Linked DNA regions of Kluyveromyces lactis. The protein of the gene in region 1 binds, or shares a complex with, the protein of each later gene. Links are inferred from orthologs where the notes say so. Each region holds a gene or a part of one and is shown on either strand. Other genes may lie near its edges.

The links.
Region 2: UFE1 (region 1) and SFT1 share a complex: the UniProt entries of both Saccharomyces cerevisiae proteins name them as parts of the SNARE complex. The link is inferred for Kluyveromyces lactis from reciprocal best matches to the Saccharomyces cerevisiae genes UFE1 and SFT1.
Region 3: UFE1 (region 1) and BET1 share a complex: the UniProt entries of both Saccharomyces cerevisiae proteins name them as parts of the SNARE complex. The link is inferred for Kluyveromyces lactis from reciprocal best matches to the Saccharomyces cerevisiae genes UFE1 and BET1.
Region 4: UFE1 (region 1) and USE1 share a complex: the UniProt entries of both Saccharomyces cerevisiae proteins name them as parts of the SNARE complex. The link is inferred for Kluyveromyces lactis from reciprocal best matches to the Saccharomyces cerevisiae genes UFE1 and USE1.

The regions. Positions count from the first base shown.
Region 1 is NC_006037.1:694,276-700,774, reverse strand, and holds UFE1 (Ufe1p), read left to right. Parts: upstream 1-2,596; coding exon 2,597-3,586; downstream 3,587-6,499. Other genes in the region: SGO1 (Sgo1p), read left to right, coding at 1-1,050; CDC21 (thymidylate synthase), read right to left, coding at 1,211-2,149; ribosome dissociation factor GTPase HBS1, read right to left, coding at 3,663-5,896, 6,212-6,467. UniProt on the Saccharomyces cerevisiae protein: Syntaxin required for targeting and fusion of Golgi-derived retrograde transport vesicles with the ER.
Region 2 is NC_006038.1:1,174,691-1,180,432, reverse strand, and holds SFT1 (Sft1p), read right to left. Parts: upstream 3,335-5,742; coding exon 3,299-3,334; intron 3,162-3,298; coding exon 2,904-3,161; downstream 1-2,903. Other genes in the region: ESCRT-0 subunit protein HSE1, read left to right, coding at 51-1,577; CAP1 (Cap1p), read left to right, coding at 1,990-2,778; RPL14A (60S ribosomal protein eL14), read left to right, coding at 4,752-4,880, 5,344-5,631. UniProt on the Saccharomyces cerevisiae protein: Vesicle SNARE required for retrograde transport within the Golgi complex.
Region 3 is NC_006040.1:1,197,585-1,203,421, forward strand, and holds BET1 (Bet1p), read left to right. Parts: upstream 1-2,744; coding exon 2,745-3,188; downstream 3,189-5,837. Other genes in the region: YEA4 (Yea4p), read right to left, coding at 1-102; VAB2 (Vab2p), read left to right, coding at 617-1,462; iron-sulfur cluster assembly protein CFD1, read right to left, coding at 1,487-2,338; protein disulfide isomerase EPS1, read right to left, coding at 3,386-5,506. UniProt on the Saccharomyces cerevisiae protein: SNARE required for targeting and fusion of ER-derived transport vesicles with the Golgi complex.
Region 4 is NC_006042.1:638,009-644,385, reverse strand, and holds USE1 (SNAP receptor USE1), read left to right. Parts: upstream 1-3,342; coding exon 3,343-4,125; downstream 4,126-6,377. Other genes in the region: RRT2 (diphthamide synthase), read right to left, coding at 1-346; ribosome biogenesis GTPase LSG1, read left to right, coding at 509-2,455; snoRNA-binding rRNA-processing protein ENP1, read right to left, coding at 4,339-5,775. UniProt on the Saccharomyces cerevisiae protein: SNARE required for targeting and fusion of Golgi-derived retrograde transport vesicles with the ER.

The DNA.
Region 1 (6,499 bases):
TTGGTACCGGTCCTTCCATCTGTTACTAACACAGGCACTGAATGTAGCAATACCAATAAAAATAATACTACAGAAATGGAAACTGCACTTGCCGAAGATGATTCTTACAATTTCACTACATCAGTCATTGAATATTCCATTCCAGAGGAAACTTCAACTCACGAGCATTCACATATCCTACTGGAAACGTCGAAATCGAAAATTGATGTATACAACGACAGAGAAGAGACAAACAACAATGAGGCTGATGACTCAATGAATATCGTCCAGTGCACAATCCCATCACAATCGAAAATTAAACATTCCATGAAACATCCTAGGACGAAACTGAAAGGTGGCCAAGATGATATTATGCCCCACACAGATTACGATAAAGATGATGAAAAACGAGAAAGAAGGACTAGAGGCAAAGCTGTCAACTATAAACTCCCATCACTACGTGCTAAGATGCGTAGACCCACTGAAAAATTGGTGGATGCCACAACTGTCACCGATATTCATGATTTACAAGTGAAACGTAGAAATAACCAACAACAGGGAATACCGTCTGATGACGATGATCAGGAAGAACTCTTAGTGCCTGCTGGCGTACCTGACACAAATGTCGTCATTGCAACAGTGGAAGAAGAGAACAGAAAGGAACCACCGGCTTTACCATTACATGAGATTCACCTTGCACAAAACGTTAAACCTAAAATCGCTCTGAAAGAATTATCAGCTAACGCTATCAACAGAAAAGTTAAAACATCTACTGCCGTAAAAGCAATAAGCCACACTAAATCGCGAGTGCTTAAAGATGTCAAGTTCAACACATTGCCCACAAAGCAACAAGCTATTGAAAACAACTCGTCCGATCCAAATGTATCTGATGAAAATGAAAATAGCAACGTGAAACCGACAAGAACTAAACAGGCTACTTCAGATCTAGCAGCATTTGAAATTATAGATGGAATTTCTCTGAAACATGTATCCAGGACACATCGTGTCAGAGCAAAAGAAGACATGAACAAAAAACGTAAAAGAATTCATAATGACGAAATAAGCATATGATAGAACTACCTCAGCATTCAACCCGTCCCATACCAACATTCGATACCAGCATATGGCACATATCATATGAATCTTTTTTTTTTTCCGGTATTTGAGCATGATATAGATAATATTAAGTACATACATTAGATAGACAAATGATACCAATTATCCATGATCCTCAAACGCTCATCTTCATTTGAATCTTCCCATGAGGGTTATAGTCAGTTATTTCGAAGTCTTCGTATTTGAAATCGTCGATATCACTGACATTTCTCTTTATCTTCAATTTTGGGAAAGCTCTTGGCTCTCTGGCAATTTGTGTCCTTAATGCATCAACATGATCTTTATAAACATGCGCATCACCCAAAGTGTGAATAAATTCACCAGGTTCCATATCACAGACCATAGCAATCATCTTCGTCAGTAGCGCATACGACGCGATGTTAAAGGGTACTCCTAGACCCATATCACATGATCTCTGATAAAGTACACATGACAATCTTGGTTTGGCACCTTCTCCCTTGGGGAAACTGACGTAAAATTGCGAGAAAACATGGCATGGCGGTAAAGCCATCTTGGGGAAATCCGGAGGGTTCCATGCAGAAAGAATTATTCTTCTGTCGTATGGATTTGTCTTCAACTTATGAATAATCTCCTTCAACTGATCAACACCTTGACCACTATAATCATCATCACATGTCTTATATTCGGCCCCAAAATGTCTCCATTGGAACCCGTAAACTGGTCCTAAATCCCCCTCTCTTCTGTCAGTCAACCCAAGTGAGTCCAGGTACTCACGAGAACCGTTACCTTCCCATATCTTAACGCCTTGTTCTGATAATTTCTTCCCGTCTGTACATCCAGCAACAAACCATAAGAGCTCCAAAATAATACCTTTCGTAAACACTCTCTTCGTAGTGAGAAGCGGGAAAGTATCATTGCTCAAATTAAACCGTAACTGTGGAGGCGCAAAAAGGGAATAAGTCCCTGTACCAGTTCTATCTGGTCTGAATTCTCCCTCATTGATAATCCTTTCACATAAATCCAAATACTGCTGTTCTTCCGCGTTAACAGCCTCAAGCTTAACTCTCTTCACGTTTTCATCGCTCAGCGTCATGGTTGACAAATGTTGGTTGTTTAATGATCCGATAAAACGCCAAAGGAGTCGAAGGATGGTTGAAGTAAGATAGAGTTTAAACTAGAGATGGCCTTTAACTCTTAAAAGCCGTAGTCTGATTCTTAACGCGTTTTCGTGTTGTGGGAATTTTTCAATGGCCGGGTAATGATGGTGAAACAATGTCACGTGCTACCTAAATTCTTAATTCCATCCTCGATGAAGCTTTGGTCTGGCAAACGAATGCGAATCAAATTTAACCAAAGGTTACTTTGGTTAAGGAGGTACCGTTCTACTGGTAATTATACTGTCTATTAACTGTCCAATTAGAGGCAACTATCGTGTGTGTTTACCCTATCTAATCTGGGACTATAAGCGTTCCTTGTTCAAGCTTTTCTATGTTGAGTAAGTGTCAAAAAGAATATATACAAAGAAAGTGACTACCTTAATATGAGTAATAGAACTGAGCTCTTCAAAAAGTACATGCAAGTGATTGCAGAGACTCAGGGAATTGATGATGCTAGGAACGAATTGAATAATACGAAAGCGAGAGAGGATAGAGAAAAGGTGAAGGAAAAGTTTAGTGTAAAGGATACTTTTGTAAAAGAAAGTAAGCAGTTGATGAAACATATTATGGAATTCCAGATAGTGATAAGGCAATTGACTCCCAGGTACGAAAGTGCTACTGACATGACTGATCAGGAGAAAGATGATTTTGATACAGAGAGCAAACTTCAATTACAGCAATATTTCGAGAAATATAAGCAATTGGAATCGTATGAAAGACAGAGACAAGAAATGATGAAAGAAAAGTTAGAGAAATGGTCCGCAACCGTACCATTTTTCTCTAGATCAATTGACGATGTATCCAGTTTCCACAAGGTGAATAATCAATTTCGTATGGGTATATTACAGTCATTGAATATGTGGCTCATGAAGATTTCAGATAGGTTGTCAACCATTCAGCAGACACGATTATCCAGACAAAGACATATCGAAGCCATTGATTTCAATGCTCAATTACACTTACCTGAAGAAATTTCTGTATCACAGTCTCCTATGATAACGACAACTGTTGAAGAAATCAAACAGTACGAGGAAACGATGTCCAAACTCTCTTCAGAACAATTACAAATCTTGGCCACAGAGCATGAAGAACTTCTTAATTTGAAGAACGAAGAATTACAAAAAGCAGAGGCACTACGGAGAACCGCAGTAGATATTGCATCGCTACAGAGTGAATTGGCTACACATTTGCAGGTTCAAACACAAAATATTAATACATTGCTCGATAATCAGACTGACGTGGAGATGGAAATGGAAAAAGGTAACAGACAGTTGAAACAGGCCAACAGGAAAGGAGATAGGCTCGCTAACATGGTCATGTGGTTTGCTATAATTTGTGGACTGCTATTGTTATTCTTCGATTACATAAATTAAGGTTAATTCGTTTCTCTCTGTTGCAATTGCTTACTACACGGTGATACGTAATGGTGTATATATGTACGGTAAGTTTTTAATAATCTAAAGATTTGATCAACGCAGCTCCGATTGTTCTTCCCTCCTTTCTTAGAACCACCCTTCCTAACTTCTTATTTTGCTCGAATGTTAGCATTGGGATTCTTCTTTTTTTCTCCACCAGCTCGATCTCAACTATGGCAGCTTGTTGAGAACCCAAATGCTTCACTTTCTTTTTTAAAACCTTAGATGGATTACTTTTATCGACAGTACAACACAATTTTTTGATTCTACAAGGTTGTTCTGTAGCACCTCTAAAGAGCATGAGCGAGGTACCAGGTAATAACGGTCTATCCAGCCTGAAAGTCAAGAGTCTTGAGGTAAATTCTTGGGAGCTTGGGATATCAAATCCAACGATAGATGCCAAATCACCACCTTGAATATCTTCAGGGAAGGCGTTATGCAACTTCAATTGGACAAAGTCTCCATGTAATGCAATATCCACTTTTTGAGAGTCATTGCCGCATAATATTGAATCAACAACGCAACTCTGCTCAGATGGATATATTGTGATAGTTTCGCCCGGTTGAATAGTACCTGATTCTACTTTACCAGATATAATGGCGGATGTATTTTTGGAAGTTGGAGTGACATCCAAAATGTTGAAGAGGAAAGGCTCTTTGGTAACACTTTCATCAACACATGCTAGCTTCAAAGCAACATTTTCAAGTTCCCCAACGAGACTTGGTCCCTGATACCAAGTTTGAGATGGCGGATATGGGGTTTTGAAGATACCCTCACCACTTAACCCGCTGCATGGAACCCAGCTTACATCGTTACCTTTGAAACCGATTTCTTCGAAGAAAACAGCCAATTCTGATCTAATGTCGTTAAATCTACCTTCGTACCACGATACAGAGTCCATTTTATTCATGGCAACAACGATATGTTTAATTCCGAGACTTCTGGCTAGCAATGCGTGTTCTTTAGTCTGACCATCAAGGTTAAAACCTGATTCAAATGCATCGGTTCCACAGTCTACTGAAAGAACAGCGACATCAGCCTGTGAAATCCCAACAATTGCATTTGGAACAAAATCTCTATGACCAGGAGCATCAACAATGGTGAACGAACTTTTAGTAGTGGCAAAATCACTAGTACAAATGTCAACGGTAACACCCCTATTTCTTTCCTCTGAAGTTTGATCCATGACCCAAGCAAGATGGAATGAGGACTTGCCAATCATTTCACTTTCCTTTTGCAACTTACGAATCAATTTTGTATCAACAGCACCAACGTCGTATAGTAGACGTCCCATCAATGTGGATTTTCCTGCATCAACGTGACCTAGAACTACAAAATTCAAATGAGGTTTCTTGTTGTCGAGGTAGGAAGAAATATTGATTGCATTTTTAGGTTTTGTAGGAACACTCACCTTCTTGTAAGTCTTCACAACAGGCTCTTCAAAAGGTAACTTCTCATCATCATCGTCATCGTCATTGATATCCTCTTCTTTTTCAACAGTTTTTGAACTTTGTTTATCTTGTATAGATAAATCAGCGACCTTTTCTTTAATTTTATCCACCTCGAATGCTGCCTTTTGTTGGTTTATTACGACATCATCCGGAGATGGCTTGCTAAAGTTAGCAATTGCTTGTTTTTTAACTACTCTATTGTTAGTATTTGGATAATAGACTGAAAACAGTTCTTCGTGTTTCCTTTTCGTGGTTGTTGAATTAAACTCTAGTTTCTCCAAGATGCCAGAATATAACGGTACCTTGTTGATTGCCAGAATTTCGTTTATATTACTGACATATGCTGAATCTTTCAATTGGTTAAGTATGACCCATGGGTCATCCTTATCTTTCTTTTCATGATCTATCTTATTTTCTTCGATGACCACCTCTACGTTCGTTTCTTCCGCTTCGGGTTTCTCTATAATCTGTCCCTCAGGTTTACTTTTCCTGAGTGATGCCAATTTTGATGCCAATGTGTGAGTTTTCGGTTGTGAAAAGGATGCAGTTGCAGCGCCGTTACTGTTATTGTCAGTAGTAATGGGTCCCCTTTTAAGTGATTGCAATCGACTAGCTACGGATACAGTTGTTTTTACAGGATTACCATTTTGTCCATTACCACCTCCGTTCTTGAGTTTGTCCAGAAGAGAAACCTTAGTTGTTGCAGGTGCCATTGTTGAAGCCTTATTCCTTGCTTCTGCACGTTTCCTAGCCAGTAATTCTAAGGCCGATAGTTTCTTTTCCACTTTCTGTTCTGCAAACAAACAAATAAATGATACTTAGTTAGTCATATAGCTCATTAGAGATGCAATACAATACACGCTGTTCAATCAAGTCAATTGTTTTTTCTTCTGCTGCCCGTCCGAAACACAAATAAGCACCACGTTCACGACCATCATGATCAATCGACATGTCCAGCTCCGTTAGTACAATATATCATAACCCTCTTCCCGTCCACAAAGAAGATAAAATACAAGATAGGCAGACCCCCCTAGTACCAATTTTGTTTACCATGGAAGAACCAACAAGAAATCATAACTGAAAACACGTAAAAATATAAAACACCGCCACGTCCAATGCCAATTATACATACCCTTTTTCTTGAATCTTCTCTTTAAATCGACCAATGCAGGTTCTAACTCGAAATTGTGATCAAAAATCGCAACTTTCACGGCCAAGTTATCCCAACCCTGATAATCAGCTAATTGCTCCTTCGCCAGGGGAAACAACTGGTTCATCAATTCAAATTCTTCATCGTTTAAATAATCGTCAAATTCATCCTCGTCCTGGAAATCAGGTACATCGTCGTCATAATCCACAGCGTCATCATCGTCATAAAACTTAGACATAATAAACTGCTTCGCTTAGTCAGAGAATCAGG
Region 2 (5,742 bases), on another chromosome or scaffold:
CGAATTTTGACTGAATAAAAGTTCATTGAACCCTATTAAGTTTTTAAAATATGAGTTCGCATCCGAAGGTTAAAAAGGCCATCGAACGGGCTACAGATCCCGGATTAAGGGTTGACAATTGGGGATACCTCATTGAAGTTTGTGATTTGGTAAAGGTTGATGCGGAAGACCGGGGTCAATATGCTATGAAGATAATTGAAGAACGGTTATTGAAACAAGATGCCAATATGATTCTTCGGACCTTGTCGTTGGTAGTTGCACTAGCTGAAAACTGTGGAAGCCGGTTACAGCAAGCAATTAGCAGTAAGCATTTTACTGGCATTTTATACAAAATAGTGGATGATTCTCAGGTTCATGTAGCGGTGAAGAGAGAGGTGTTGAAAGTCGTTCATCAGTTAGCAGATTCGTTCAAGAACGATCCTTCGTTGAAGTATATGCATGATCTAGAGAGCAAAATCAAGATATCACATCCGGAGTTGATCTCAGAGCCTCGAGTACCTAAGAAGAAAGAAATGAGTAAAGATAGAGAGGTTGAAGAGGAAAAAGAGCTCGCAGAGGCACTAAGATTGTCCTTACTTGAATTTGAAAAGACGGGTAGCAGGCAACAAGTACAACAGCCTCAACAGCAGCAGCAGCAGCAACAGCAGCAGCAACAGCAGCAACAACAGAAACTGTACCCTCAGAATGCCGAAGCTCAACAACAACAAGCGCCAACTGTTATACGTAAGGTAAGGGCAATGTACGATTTCAATTCTACAGAACAGGATGAATTATCTTTCAAGAAAGGGGATCTGATTTGTGTGGTTGAGCAGGTGTACAGGGATTGGTGGAGAGGAACGCTTGCTGGGAGCGTTGGAATCTTCCCGCTCAATTATGTAACTCCAGTTACAGAACCTTCTCAACAAGAATTGGCAGCAGAAAGAGCAAAGGACGAACAGGTTTTCGCTCAAAAGGACAATGTTGACAGGCTACAGAATAAGTTGAGAGAAGCTGGAAACGCAGATATCACGCAAGACCAAGAGATAAATGATTTGTACGGATCAGTTTCACCAATTCGCCCACAGATATCAAAGATGCTTGGTAAGTACGCTCAGAAGAAAGAAGATCTCGTATCATTACGTCAAATTTTGGCTAATGCTGAAATCACATACAACCAGTTGCTAAGTCGAGCATCTAATGCTTATGCTTATTCTGCGCCTCCGCCCGCGCCTATGACGGGACCTGCACCAACTCCAGGCCCACAAAGTCCAATGTCACCAACTGCTCAATACACAAGTCCTACAAATACACAAACGCAAATGAATGGCATACCAAATCCGCCATATTCATATCCATTACCTCAACAAACTCAACAAATTCAACAGTCTGAACAAACTCAGCAGCCCTTGAGTCAAATAAACTCACCTCAAAATTATGCGAGCTCAGTCGGTAACACCAATTATACTGGTACGAACCATATCCCACAGCCATTGGCACCATATCCTCAGTACACCGGTATGTCAATGCAGTCTATACCTCCGCAGCAACCTCAAATGCCTCAACATTATAACATGAGCTCTAACAGTAATGCTCAGTAGTGGATCTGTTCTGTTTCATGCTTAATCTGCACTTCTATATAAAAATACTATCCTATGATAAGCTTATTTCTTTGCACATACGTCAAGAGAGCATGTTTATTTAGTTGTAAGAGTATTTAAATCTCAATATATTGCCAAAACACATGGCCTTACGCGCCTTCCATGTCATTAATCAACTGCAGCTCTTCCCTAGTACAAGTCATGGATAGCCTAGGTTCCTTCAAATTTAAGGTCCCTTTTTCTTTCAAAAAATAAATGAGACGAATAACGATATCGTAAAGAACTCTTAAGTTAAAATTTACTACAGTTATAGGCAAAAATCTACCAGTGAAGAAGTGGATTTAGAGACAATTAACCTGTCATTTTAAGGTAAATTGTGGTGAACATCAATTCACACTGTGAAAATCATATTATGTCTGAATTTGAGAAGATTGTGAGAGATATTGTATTCGATTCCCCTCCAGAGGAAATCTCTTTGGTTTACGATAATCTACAAGTGTTAAGCGATGGTCAAAGCAAGCAACAGATTGCTTCAATTATCCAAGAATTCAATGAGAAGCACAGAGTGCCAGCTGCTAAGGGTGAAGAGAGATATCTTGTGTCTGAATACAATAAATCTGGAAGTAAATATTTCGATCCAGTAAACAAGGTTTTATTTGCCGTAGACCATATTACCCGCGAAGCTAGTGATATTGAGGAATATACCAGTGAAGATGCCACTCAGGTACAATCAGACCTTTACGATGAATTGTCTAAATACGTTTCAAACTTCTTCCCTGATACAGCTGTGTTCAACGTGTTTAAGATTCCAGAGAGCGACCAATATGCCATAATCGTTGTCAGTAACAAGAAAAGTTTAGGTGATTTCTGGACTGGTTACTGGTTATCAGAATATGTGTATGATGTCGATGGGGATACGATCTCTGGCGAAGTCTCCGTCGATGCTCATTACTTCGAAGACGGTAACGTTCGTTTCAAATCAACTGCTTCCTTGGAATCAGCACAGACGGATTCACCAATAGTAAGCATCAAGCAGTTTGAGAACGAGTTTGAAAAGAATCTCATCAATAAGTTCCAGTACATGAATGAAACACAGTTCAAGGGATTGAGAAGAAGATTACCCGTGACTAGAGCCAAGATCAACTGGGGACAAGGGATCGGTAATTACAGATTGGGAAGAGATGCTGCTCAAGGTGCATGAAAGGATGATGCTATGACATTACATTACCTGAATGTATACATATGTGTATATACAACGAATATCTTCTGCTTATTCAAACTTCTTCCTATAAAGAAGAGTACTTGCGGTCAGTAAGCAAAAGGTTCTTAAAATACCTTATATATCGTGTACAATATGAAGAAACACAATAATGATACACCCACCATACGCCATATATTATTACCGGCATTCATAGATCTCTGGAGCCTTGTAGATGAGTTCTTGACATTAAGGAAAAGTTGACCGAATGAGTTCTGTATATTGTCGATAAGGGAGCTGTCATTTGCGGCTTGATTTCCAATATCTTGGTTGATATTTCTGAATGTAGATAGTTTATTGGCCAATTCGTCTAACCTTTGATTATTCTAAAGAAAATGTTTGAGCGTTACGTTAGTAAATTTCGATCTTAAAGTGGCACTTGCATACCGTACAGTCGGTAAGGATACTGCGCCTGTAGGTTCAAGCCTATTCTGCCATCAAACGTCTTTTTGGTAGAACATACATCATTTTCCACCTGTGAGTACTTGGAATCCGACATGGTGAGAGTTCACTTTATGCAAGAGTGGCTCTATATCGCGTTCTAGTTGCTAAATGTGAACGTTTCGCTATAATATAAACTCTGAGGTGCACTTTGATCCTGCCTTTTAAGGTACAGACAGTGTTTCAATTCTATCGCTCATAATAATGGGAATTGAATCTTCAAAACACGTTAGAAATGATATTTCATTTCAGTCAGCGAAGCATAGCGAAAGGTACAAGAAAGCTACGGTGAATACAAATACTATACATGACGCTGTTAACGGTACAAAGCGAAAACCATAATTATCGAAATCAGAGTAGATCTTGGTGTTTGTTAGTTTTATAATTTTCATATGAAATCAACGTTAGGCAACTGTTTTCATCTCGTAAAGATAGTTATGGTTCGCTTTATCCTCCATACCTGAGAAATATGTGGTATATATAAGTATGATCACAATTGGAACATGACTAGGTGCAGAAGTACACGATAATTATCTCCTCACCTCTGCTGAGGTGAAAGAAAGAGAAGAATTAGTTATAATGAATGTGTTGTAATGAAAGGATTCTTTTCTATAATAGTCAGACCGAAAGTTATTCGCATACCACAAGACTCCCATAATGGAACTAGGCATGTCCCGAGATGACTTGCCCTCGATCGCAAATTATAAAACATCATTCAAAAGAAAAGAAGCGAACCCCAAAACCACGAAACATTATGATAAGAATTCTTCTCAAATCCATACTTCCTGCTGCTAAATCTCAATCATCACTAAAACTAGGTATAGTAATAGCAGTGGCTACTGCTCATGCTGTTACTATTATTATTAAAGTGACGAACAAGCTTCATACTTGAAACACAATCCTAATATTAACTGTCTAACAATACCACCGTTTAATCGTGTGAATACAAACAGCATACCTCATCTCATACGCTCTCTTTATATATAATTCAATCAGCATGCGGACATTGATAACAATTTTCGTGGGACTGCCCTTTTATACACCTGTACATCTCATTATATTTCAATAATGTCCTTTAAACACCCAACCATTACATATTTTGTTGCGCCTGTGTTAGGATGAAAATGAATTCGTCCTGTAATATAATACCTAAATTGGAATAGGTATGTATTTTAAACCCGTAGCCCACATACATTGTTACCCACGCAACTTTTTCATCAATAAGCACTCCAAGGTACTCTGCGTCCTGGATTCTGACAATAGCGAATTCCAGCTTCACCGGATAGACACGCACAGACACACAGGGCTGCGTTGGAAGTTTGAGTTTGGAACCAAGGTTTAACAAAATTGTTTGACTACTTTATCTGTTACACTATTTGAAGGTATACTATAATAACGGTTTAATACTTACTATTACGTTATATTAGATTAGGTTTGGTCTTGATTTACAGAACGGAAGAAGAACCAAGTGAAAGATGTCCACTGATTCTGTTGTTAAAGCTTCTAACTGGAGATTGGTCGAAGTTGGCCGTGTTGTTTTGGTTAAACAAGGCCAATCCGCCGGCAAGTTGGCCACTATTGTTGAAATCATTGACCAAAAGAGAGTATGTTTTACAGATTATAATGAAACGGAGATTCCCTGTACAGTACCATCTTTCCATTTGAAATAAGAACAGATATCGATCACACTGCGATCTGGTATTCTTATGCTTTATTTGGGAAAGTTGCATAGATGTATAGGATCGAACCGAAGAATAATATGAGGAAGAGGAAAGAATGATTCATGATAAACTGTTTCCCGAGTTAAAGAAAGTATACTTTGAGAAATGAATGAAAAACTATTGTACTGAACAGACATCGAGAGAGAGGTTTAGACTACGTTTGTTTTCCCTCCTTCTGGTAAGGTTAGGAATGTGTCGTTAATACTCGATGGCTCTCGTACTTGGTATGAACATGACAGTCCTTTTCCTAGTTATTTTTTTGTTTCTATCCATAAACTCGTATCGAACAATTTTTACTAACAAAATATCCATGACATTAACTTGTCTAATTTTAATTTCCTTCCAGGCTTTGATTGATGGTCCAACCACTGGTGTCCCAAGACAAGCTATCAACTTAGGTCAAGTCGTTTTGACTCCATTGACCTTTGCTGTTCCAAGAGGTGCTAAGTCTGCTACTGTTTCAAAGAAGTGGGCTGCTGCTGGTGTCTCTGAAAAATGGGCTACTTCTTCCTGGGCTAAGAAGATCGCTCAAAGAGAAAGACGTGCTGCTTTGTCTGACTTCGAAAGATTCCAAGTTTTGGTTTTGAAGAAGCAAAAGAGATACGCTGTTAAGAAGGCTGTTGCCAAGGCTTAAACTTTTTAAACTTTAATCGGTTTATTATGAAGCTTTGCCAATTCCTTTCATTAGCAACAATTACAAATTCAAAAATCTCTTTTCTTCATAGAAATAACATTTCTCACTCCT
Region 3 (5,837 bases), on another chromosome or scaffold:
ATTTCCCAACCGATCTTTATTATCTAGTAAAAGTTCTTCTAAACTCAATACATTGGAACAGCACCCACCAAACAACGATAAAATAGCCAATATTTCTATCATTACTAAAGAAATGAAATTATGAGATCAATTGGTCAACGTAAGGGTATTCAACACATGGAATGGTTTCTATATATATAGTAACTCTCTCAATCGACAATAGGAAAAAAAGGACTAGCAATCAATTGACCTTTAAATGAATCCAATAGAGTTAATCTCATCAATCCAATTGAATTCAGTAACCATGAATACCCCTAGACTACACATCCGGAACGATTTCAAATCAACTTAAACAATCTTTCTTTCATGATGACATGTATTGTAAAGAGGTTGCCTGAATTTTATATGAAAAAACGTTTAAGAACCATAAATGCGAACCTTAAAATAGACACGCATTAAACCAACGTATTAAGGGCACGTTTGTCAGAGAAAGAACAGCGAGAAAGGCTCAGTTGAACTAAACTATTAGTGTACTCAGGAACCATTATTTATTGGCTAAAATTTTTATACTTGTACTGACCCAGTGCCATCAATAACTTTAAGGTTCTTTGAAGGTTGAGATTCCAACTGCTATAAGATGAGTTTCCTATTCTATGGAGATTCGAAGCACCTGAGGAAGCGAGAGAGCTTCCACTTTGCGACAATTGAAAAGAGTGATTATTCTAAACAGTTGCAATCATTGCCTTTGCTTCCCTCTTCCTCTTCATTGAGACAAGATCATATATTCTCCAATGTGGCCAAGGAAGTAAATCAAATCAGTGACGATGTTGCCATAATTTATTCGAGACTTCAGGAAGAAATCGATACAGAACAATCGCAGACGAAAGAAGTAAATAACAAGATCAACCACTCGGTAAAAAAACTAGAGTCTAGCTTTTCTAAGTTAGTAAAACTACGATCAAAATTCACTAAGGATTCGGATAAACAGTTAAAACAGTTCGAAAGCAAATATTCTGACATTGATAAGAAGGTACGAATAATCAGAGATGTGAATGAAGAATTATTAGACTACGTAACTAGAAACGGTAGTATAAAAGTTGATGCGACGCAATTCAGCAAAATTTCAAAGCTGTTGCAAGAAAGGTTCCCAGAGAGTAGTAACACGACAGAAACCGAAGCGAATAAGGACAATAGTGGGCAGTCACAGAACGAAGCTAATTCCGAGAGTTTGAACAGCTCTTATTCGAGGCAAAGTACAAATGGAAGCCAAAATAATGCTAAAAAAGATTATCATAGTACCAAAGGAAATTCAGCGGACTCAAACACCACCAAATCGTACCGTCAGTCGATATCCTCGGCGCCATTAGCACTGTCATCAATCCGGAGTACATCAAGGCCATCAATCGCTACAACTCTTGAGCATATATGTATCACAGAACCGTTCACTAGACCTCGAGGCATGAGCAAATCGGCTGACTTATGAAAAGTTTCATGTCAAATTTACCCATTATTGATCTGTTCCACTTTTTACTTCACCGTTCAGTACATTATCTAATATCTTTGAGAAAATGACATACAATCCAGAATCCTTGTAGAGATCAACTAAGCTCTCTTTGAACCCAGTCTGTTTCTCAATCAACTCGACAAACGTCGGATCAATTGGAATATTCCCCAGGTACGGAACGTTATATTCGCTGGCTAATTTGAAACCGCCTCCTCTAGAGAAGATATCTGTACATTCAGCACAATGAGGACATATAAATCCGGACATATTCTCGATGACACCGAGTATATTGAAGTTGACTTTCTTACAGAAATTGATTTCCTTTCTCACGTCTGCCGTAGCGACACCTTGAGGCGTGGTAACAATAATAGCACCATCAGGTGCAGCCCACCTCAACTCTTCTGCGATAGATATATGTTCATCCGAAGTTCCGGGCGGTGTATCGATAATCAAATAGTCCAAATCTCCCCAATCCACATCTTTTATAAATTGTTTAATCATAGCACTTTTCTTAGGACCACGCCATACCACACTATTACCTCTATCATCCAAAAGAAAACCCAAGGACATGAGTTTCAATTCCCCTCCTGATGTCGTAGGAACACTAACGGGTATCCAACCCTTAGAAGCCTGATAAACCTGTTTATTTTCTAAACCAAACATTCTAGGCAACGACGGTCCAGTTAGATCAATGTCTAAAACACCCACTTTGTATCCCTTTAAACATAAAGTTAATGCTGTCTGTGTGGTGACAGATGACTTACCAACACCACCTTTACCAGAAAGGACCAATATAATGTGCTTGATGTCCTTTAAGGACTCAGGCATACCCAATAATTCGGTTTCAGCTGACATCGAGATACAATTGATTATGATCCTGGGACACTAAACGTACCAGCCACTGCAGATATGACTGTATATGCTCACAGTGGACAGAATACTTATAAAAGGGTATACTGCAAATACTTTTCTCAGCCGTTTAAACAGTAGGTTGACTAATACATTTAACTCTTAGCTTAACTAGGATTTCATGATGATAATGATACCTTTGTCAGAGCGAAGGGGAAACCTTCGAGGACAATATCACGTGATTAAACTTCAACAAAAAGTTTTCGTTAAGCGAATCGATTTGGTAGTAGCTTACAGATGGACTAGGAAGTTCCAAGGTGAAACTGCACTTAATTCCCTATGGTTAGATCTGAGTATCTTGACAAATCTACACTTTGTATTTTATTGTTGAGGCACTAGAAATAATTAAGGTATGAGTTCAAACTATAGTGGAATGCAAGGTGATTTGACACAGCGAGATGCGAGTAGGACGCAATTGTTTGCGGGTACTGACTTCTCTAAGTATAAACAACAACAGGATAGACCAAGTTCGCCGTTTGATAGACCATCCCCAGGGGTAGATTATTCTCAAGCAACACTTTCGCAGCTCGAGTCTCAAAGTGATGAACAAATGAATACCATGAGTGAAAAGATCAACGCACTAAAGAATTTATCTCTACGAATGGGAGATGAGATTCGTGGTAGCAATCAGACCTTAGATCAGTTAGGAAACGTTTTTGAACAGACTAGCAACCGTTTGAAAAGGACTTTCAAGAGAATGATGGTGATGGCTCAGAATTCTCGCATTCCATTAAAAATATGGTTCATAATATTTGGTGTTCTGACACTTTTGTTCTTCTACGTCTGGATACGTTGAGAGAGCGAGAGCGAAATAAAAAACCACAAAAGGGTCATGTACTGAAGAGTATCCCATCGAGCATGTATATCTAATTCGTATTGGTTAAACGCATTCCTTCACGCATTATATGTACCATTAAAAAGATATATTAATAAATCGTAACTATCAGTATTAGGTTGAAATATAAGATTATTTATAGGAAGAATTCCTGTTCCTCAATCCATGAGCTTAGCTTCCTTCCCGAGGATACCATGAGTATCCCGTTTTGCAGCGTAACGTCTTTTCAGTTTATAATGATGAATGGTTCTGGGTATTTTCCATAACGCCAAGAATGTCACCACAACAAATAAGTAATTGATTCCGCTAAATTCGCGGAGGTAGTCAATTAATCTGAGCAATCCACTGAGTGGAGTTCTCAAAAAGATGCGTTCAATACGAAGATCAGGGTGTCTTGCGGGGAAATTCAGAATGGAGAGGACTTCGGGCAACGTCTCTAGGGTGATGTATTGTCCAGAAGCATCCTTTTCGTAATAGATGGCTTTTTGCTTGTCCACGACAATGATATCACCAGTCTTGAACTTCCTGAAGTAAACATTTAGACCTTTATTATTCAAGAGAGAAGGGGATTCATTAATGTCCAAATAGGCAAATATGACCTTGTGATTATAACTGTAATTTATCTCTTTTCTCATGGCAGTGACTATATCAACGGATGGTGCGTTTTTGTTCTTAAGCTTTTGCACCAGTTTTTTCTTTTCTTCTCTGGCCGTCTTAAGACCTTCGTACACCGCCTCGTTACGCAATATTTCATAACTATGTGCCGCTACTCGTAGGCCTTCGACGATTTTCTTTGAACCTTCTTCAAACTTATTATTCTTCTTATTAACCAATTGAATTACCAACTTGTCATAGAAATCTTGTTCAAATCCTTTTAATGCTTCAAAGTTTTTGGATGTAATCTCAGTGACAGTTGGAAGAGAGTTTATAGTGAGCCAATCCAAGATGAAGTCCAAATTTCTGGTTTCAGTTGTTGAATATCCAGGGAATATGATCGGAGTAAACGTAGATTTCTTGAATATGAAGAACGTTGGTGATTGGGTAATGGATGTCGTGATAAAATGGTCCTCATTAATTTCAGTGCGTTGATCGGTATTATAATCTTTGTACAGAGTTTGATAGAGAGTATGGCTTAACTTCTTTAGGTCGTCAGTGTTCTTGTACAAGTAAATATTAGGGATGTATCCCAATGGGTCAATGAGTTGTTCCAAAAATTGCATATCCTCAGGGACAACAGTTTCCGGGTTATAATTAAATACAAGCAATATTTTATCGGCTTCGGCATTTGCTTCCAAAATGTCACTTTTTGGTTCTTTTACAAAAGCTTCGATCTCATCCTGATCAATATTTGGAACGTTACTGTTGTGTAAAGTTCTTGTAGCAAAATCAATCAAGGATTCGCTATCGACACGCTTTGGACCAAATGGGAACTTAATAAAACTACCACTCTTGCGGTTAGGTAAGATCAATGCAAATTCCGGGGCTCTTTCTAACCTAGAGTTTCTCTTCTGAGTCAAAGTATCGAAGGACAACTCCCTACAAATGGCTTCATTCTTTGAAGAATCTGTCGGATTCACACAGTTGAAATGTACCGTATTGATTCCTATCGAGTCAGCCTTGTTACTTACCAACTTCCAAATCCGTTGAAAAAGCGAACAGTCTTCACAGTTTTTGAACTGATAAGAAGATTCGATATCTTCAAAATCAGAGGTTGGCCAAAATGAGACAAAGTATGGTTCAGTTTGAGGTTCTGATAAAATCTTCAAGAGCTCACCATCATTCAACAGTTTACTCTTGCTCGATAGTTTAGTGATATCCAGATTGTCTGCATCCAGAGCTTCCTTTCTTGCAAAATTTAGCAAAGTTGTTTCAGTCCGTTCCAAACCTCTGGGAAATGCCTTGATAAAGCCTTCTGGTCCATATAATCTGATGGTAGGGTATGAATTAATACCCTCTTTCATACATAAGTCTCCTGACTCGATACAATCCACTTGATGGAGAGATATGTTGAGCTGCAAGGATTCATCGTAAAAGCCATTGTACGTCTTTTCCCAAATTGGGGCTAGCTGCTTACAATGATGGCAATATGGACTGAAAAATTCGATGATGTGTAGATTCTTTGCTATGGTCTCGTCAAAGTTGGCTTCAGTCAATGGAGACGGTAATTTACTTTCTGGATCCGCAGCATTACCTTGATTAGGATTAGCTCTTGGTGGTGCACCTAAAACCAATGGTATCGAAAGAATCAAGTATTGCAAAAGCCACAAGTGAGAAACCATTTCGGTAATAGAACCTTTAGCTGATATTTCTTAGTAGCACAAGAATTCCTAATTGCTCCAATACCTCACTCATGTATATATATCGTATTGATTTCCAACCTTTCCTATGTTGCATGTAGTCAAAATGGGCATAAGGCTATTTTAAATTACTGCAAAAAAAGATACTGATTGATAAGAATGATGAATAAAGGCATATATATATATATAAATAAATACAATACAAGTAAAGGATAAGTGTAGAGACTTTTGGTTAATTAACGATGAATATGAGAGAATATTTAAATGAATACGTGCGCGTGAGTATGTGGGTATACAGTTAAGTATATGACGT
Region 4 (6,377 bases), on another chromosome or scaffold:
AAGTATCATCGAATGGATTGAGCTTCAAATCTAAAATTGCCCCATAGGTTTTTATGCTAGAAAGAAGGTTCAATTCTTTATCATAAACCTCAATAGAGCCAGTTCGATTGCCTGAGTCCTTATGCAAGAGATAGGTACCCACAATGATAAATTTCTCTCTTAAAATACACAAGCAACATGGAGGAAGACGCGTGGTAACCCTTTTATCAGCTGCAGTTTCTTCCATTCTGCAGAAACTCTTGACTTCTAATTTTGTCGCTCCTCTAAGGTGGTATGCAATACCTATGTTGGAGTCGTACTCTGCATCCTCATCATGCGGGTGCTTTTGTAAAGATTGTTGAGCCATCCATCTGTTCTAGTTCAGGTTTACCACACAATTTCTTTTTTACACTTTACGTACTAGCGGAAAATTTTAATATGTTAACCAGCTCATCTCATCATAAGCAAAGCATCAGCACAACAATCTTAGCAGTTAACGGCAGGTCTACAAGCAACACGGACTAGCAGCATGCCACCAAAGGAAACAACAAAGAAGTGGAAACCTCCAAAGGGTCCAAAGCCTATTCAAAGGAAGAATAAAAACACTATTGGGTTAGGTAAGGCAATTCAAACTGCAAGACGTAAGGAAAATGAAGTGCAGTATTTGCCAGATGGTGAAGAACGTTTCACTACCGATAAGCACGAAGCTAATTGGGTAAAATTGAGATCTGTTACTCAGGAATCTGCATTAGATGAATTTTTGAGTACTGCTGAGTTAGCAGACAAGGATTTCACAGCGGACAGACATTCTAATGTCAAGATCATCAGAATGGATAACGGTGCCGATGCAGCCACATCCCAGGGATTTAGTTTGACCAATGAGCAGAAAAGTAAGATCAACGAGAAGCAGAGATTACATGCTAGAGAGTTGATTGTCCCAAGAAGGCCTAAGTGGAATGAATCTATGACCAGATTTGAATTAGAAAGGTTAGAAAAGGAAGCATTCTTGGAATGGAGACGTAAATTAGCCTATTTGCAAGAAGACAACGAGGATTTGTTATTGACTCCATTCGAGAGAAACATTGAAGTTTGGAGGCAGTTGTGGAGAGTTGTTGAGCGATGTGATCTAGTAGTCCAAATCGTGGATGCCAGAGATCCATTATTATTCAGATCCACAGATTTAGAGAAATATGTGAAAGAAGTGGATGACAGGAAACAGAATTTACTTTTGATCAACAAAGCGGATTTATTAACAAGAAAGCAACGTATTATTTGGGCCAAGTACCTTCTCTCGAGGGGCATCTCTTTTACATTCTTTTCTGCTGCCAAGGCTAATGAAATATTAGAGAGACAAGAGGAACTAGGGGATGAATACGTTGAAGAAGAGGACGATGAGGAAATACTGGCTACAGAGGAAGAAATTGAAGAACTTGATGGGGAAGAAGTGAACAAAGAAATTCTGGATAAAATTAACATACTGAAGATCGATCAACTTGAAGAATTGTTCTTAGATAAAGCGCCAAACGATCCGCTACTTCCTCCATTGCCCGGTCAAGAGCCAATCATACAAATAGGTCTAGTGGGTTATCCAAACGTTGGTAAGTCTTCCACTATAAATGCCTTGGTGGGTGCCAAGAAAGTTTCTGTCTCTTCTACCCCTGGTAAGACCAAACATTTCCAAACTATCAAGTTATCTGATAAGGTAACGTTATGCGACTGTCCAGGTCTAGTTTTCCCTAATTTTGCATACAATAAAGGTGAATTGGTGTGTAACGGTGTTCTACCGATCGATCAGTTACGTGACTATATTGGGCCATCGACATTAGTGGCAGAAAGGGTCCCTAAATACTTTTTGGAAGCCATTTACGGTATCCATATTCAGACCAAATCCGTAGAAGAGGGTGGGAATGGTGAAGTACCAACTGCACAAGAATTACTCGTTGCTTATGCCAGAGCTCGTGGTTATATGACACAAGGTTTTGGTGCCGCAGATGAATCTCGTGCCTCTCGTTACATTCTCAAAGATTATGTGAACGGTAAACTCCTGTACATTAATCCACCGCCTCACATGGACGATGATACGCCATATACCAGAGAAGAATGTAAGGAATTCAACAAAGATTTATACACGTTCAGTAAATTACCTATCAACAGACAAGAGCAACTTGCAGAAGCTGCCAAACACAAAGGTATACAAGATTTGGATCTTGCTCGCGATTTAAGTCGATTAACGTTCTCTGCTCATATTGGTGGTGATGGTGATAAAGTACAAGCTAAATCTGTCAACCATGGTGGTAAACAAGCAGCCTTGTACAACGTAGCTGATGAACTTGACAAAAATTTCTTCCATTTGAACGGTGTTCAAGGCAGACTTACGAACCCTTTCCATAAGCAAACCGTCGCCAACGAAAATGGTAAGAAGCATAACAAGAAGAACAAGAAGAGTAAGAAAAAGGCTTCCATGTTTTCCGATTAATGTAAGTACTATCTAAATTCATCCTAAACTCTTATATATATATAAATCCACTGTTTGCACAGTCTATTATCCCCATTCATTATGGAAATGTAACTGCATATCCTTTATATCTTCCTTAGCTGCCCTGCTTCCGGTTATAAGACCTATGGTTAGCATGCAACTTGTCACTGCATTACCCGGTGTTTACTGAAAAATTTGATGAACCAAAAGAAAAGGATACAAAACTTGGTTAAAGTTGGTTTACTTTATACTTGACCTCAGTACATGGTCCAGTTGATAAGTATTCTTGTCATTTGTGGTTATCTTTTTGGTTCCTAGCTCAGCAAACAAGGGCTCTTAAACACATTTCGGCATGTTCAATTATGGTTCGCGTTGTGGTTATCATGGCGCAGACTTATTCCACGCATGTAGAAGTAAGCTCAAGATGCCCAGAGCTGGGATACTCCCATTTAACGCCCTTTTCGCTAACAACAACTGAATTCCTACAGTTTGTAGTTTGATAGTAGGTGGGCGGAAATATTACCCATTTAATTGGTTCAGTAGTTTCCTCTGAAATATTATGAGAGTCGTATGAATTTGTATATCAATAAGATTTAGCAATAGTTAACCAAGTTCAGCCTTATGTTATACTTACCATCGGTAGATACATTAAGTAGCACTCGGTCCACTCTTTCTTACATGCGCTTTTGTAAGGGTTGGCAAGGGTCATGCTTCAGAGTGAATGACTTTCATTCAGACAGCTCTGTTATTTCTTTGATTGAGGTTTGGGATAATATTTTAGTGACATAAAACAAAATGTAATATAGCCTTTAAAATAATACTTAGTACAATTCCAATCACAAATAAAAAGGGATAGCGCCTCGTTAAAGGACATTAACTGACGGAATATGACGACAGATTTAGACACATTAAGTGATCAACTACGCAAAAATTATTACAGGGACCTTTCGCTCTTTCAAGATGACGAAGACCCTTTTTACCATTATCTTATATCTACAAAACTGGCCACAAACTTAAATACCGTGAGAAAACTGGCTATAAAGGATAACTTGGATGATCCGTCTTCTGATGCTATTGATAGATACCAGAAAAACTTTAGCAGACTAGAGGAATCGGTTAGCTCTATCAGTTTCTCCAAAGCTTCTAAGTTGCAACAGAAATATGATGCATATCAGGAATCTCAAAAGAAAAGGCGATATAGTGTTGATTTCGATGCAACGCCCGACGTGCCTATAGGAGATGAGGACGATGTTGATATAATATCCAATGTTGAAGCAATTAATGACAACGATTCTTTGAAGGAGCTCCGCCAAAGGCTTATGGGTAAAAGAAGGGACAGCGCTGATACGGAGGGTGAATCATTTGACAAACAAATGCAAATTCAGGATGATCTTCAGAAGGAACTGGTTGAAGACATGTCCCAGCTAGTTTCAGGCTTAAGACAAGGTGCGGAAGCTTTCCAGAATGCTATCGAACACGACTCTACTGTTCTTAAGGCAGCAGAAATCGGATTGCATGTTACTTCTAAGAGCCTTTCTTCACTCGGATCCAGATTGAAAAAGTATCACAATGAAAAAATTGGATTTTTAATGAAGTTAGGACTTTTATCGTTTATTATAATTGGTCTATTGGTCACCTATCTTGTAATAAAAGTATTTCCAGATTTATGAGTGTCTTCCGCTAAAATCTCCAAGATTTAGATAAAGGCTCTGCTTCACTCAAAAGCTTCAAAGTACAAAATAGACTCATGAATATTCGATGAAATTAATTGATACCGTTTCCACTTATCGAATAGATTGATTCTATTGATTGTCTTATCTATAATTGCATATTATACACTTGTTTAAAATTGACAGGCACTTATATTGTTATAGGACTATTGACTACAGAACATCAAACATTAAATCAGCTTTATTACCAACATCACTGACAAATTCTCTACTATCACCGGCTAATAATTCTCTTCTGATTTCAGGTCCAATTTCTTTGTGACCTCTTTGACGAACAGTTTCAAGTAGGAAATCTCTTTGATCTTGGGTAATATCATTCTTATAACGTTGAGCAAACGCTAAGAAAGCTTTATGCCATACCACAGGTAAGACTCTGACGGCATCTTGGCCTGTACTTCCATCAGTGACTTCTCTGAATCTCATGAAGTAGAAGACACATTCGTCAACAGTTTGATAAGGCAAAGCATACTTCTTCTCGAGTAGAATTTTGATGAAAACGGTGGTGGCTGGGGAAAAAGGTAATCTTAAAAGGTAGGACAATGCTGCAGCAGAATGAAGAGCTGGCACAGAGACCTTGGATAACACACTTGCAGCAATGGTAGCTTCTCTAACATTACAACCGGATTCCACAAGTGGGAATAAGAACCCTTTGAAAAAGGCAGCCGGTTTATACAATGATTTCTTTAATGCACGGTAGACATGGTAATTTAAGTTGTGATCTTCGTTAAATTCAATTTCTTCTCTGAAGCGTGGTAACAACACAGCTATAACGAATTTTTGGGCCTCTTTAGATGATAAGTTAGAAACAAAAAGTTTAGTACCTTCGTATATAGCATGCGGAGACCATTCCTCTGGATTAGTAACATAGAGAACATCTTGCCAGTTATTTAGAGAAGGCAAAACTTTGAATAGTTTGGGTAGTTTACCATGTCTCCAGGTCTGCATAATGGTACCAACGGCAAGGTATGCTTGAATCACCTTGGGTGGTAAGGCGACACCTTCTGTACGATCTACAGGTGCAGCTGGTTCCGCTACTGCAGAGGCATCACCTGCTTCTTCTTCATTATACTGTAGTTCCATCTCTTTTTCTCTAATAGAAGCCATAATCTTATCGGCAAGGTTATATGATCCATTGGCAGAGTTGAAATCAGCAGAAGTCTTGAAATATTGGTCAAACATTTCAGCATCTTCTTCGTCAATTTCTACCACTTCTTCCTCCTCGTATCCTTCGAAATCGTCTTCATCTTCCGGTTCAAAGTCAGATATGTTATTACCTTGAGCTTCCTCTTCCTCAGCTACATCATCTTCATCCGCATAGTTGGCCACACAGAATCTGTTTATTCCTTGGCTGGATGTCTGCAGAGACTGCTCGTCCTCTTCCTCTAATTCTTCCTGCTGTTCCCTAGCTAATTGCAAAATTTTTCTAGATTGCTGGGCATCGACAAATTCTTCATCTTCATGGCCTTTTTGATCCTTAGCATCGATCTTTTTCTTACCTTGTCTTTTCAACTTACCATGTTGAGAGTCAAGATCGTTCAATAAAGGATCGTGTCTCTGTTTACGACCGCTGCCACCCATTACTTTACCCATTTTCTCCGTAGAACAAATAAATCTTGTATCACTAGTCGTATTCTGAGCACTAAAGCAGACACTAATGAGTAATTTTGTGATTGTTATCTGCCATTTACCTCATCTCATCTCATCTCATCTCATCTCATCGCTTCTCATCTCATCGTTACTTATTCAAATCCCAAAAATTTTCAGTCAATGCACGGACAGAAAAAGAAAGGCTAGAGATACTCTGTTTAGAGAAGTCAAAGGTTCAATTAAATAACTCTGGAGCATTGGCAGCGGGATCGTCGTGATTGAAACAGATATGCCACAGCGTTGAACACAAATTCAAGCTACTGTAAACAGCCAAGAGCTATGTTCTTCTAATGATTACAGGCAAAGAATGTTGTTTGTTTTGCACGTGACTTTAAAATCTGGAAAGATTTTTCAACTGCAGCTTAGATTCGTTTTACGTATATATAATTAACAATGGATCAAGTGTAATGTGATCTCATATGCGTGGTGACACATTGCTGGTCTCTTGTTCACTCAAGCTTCTCCCTTGAGTTGTACTTATCGATTGATCAAAAACCAAGTGTTCATTTCCGTTTTTTTCGTTCCTTGCAATCTTAGCAAAGTTA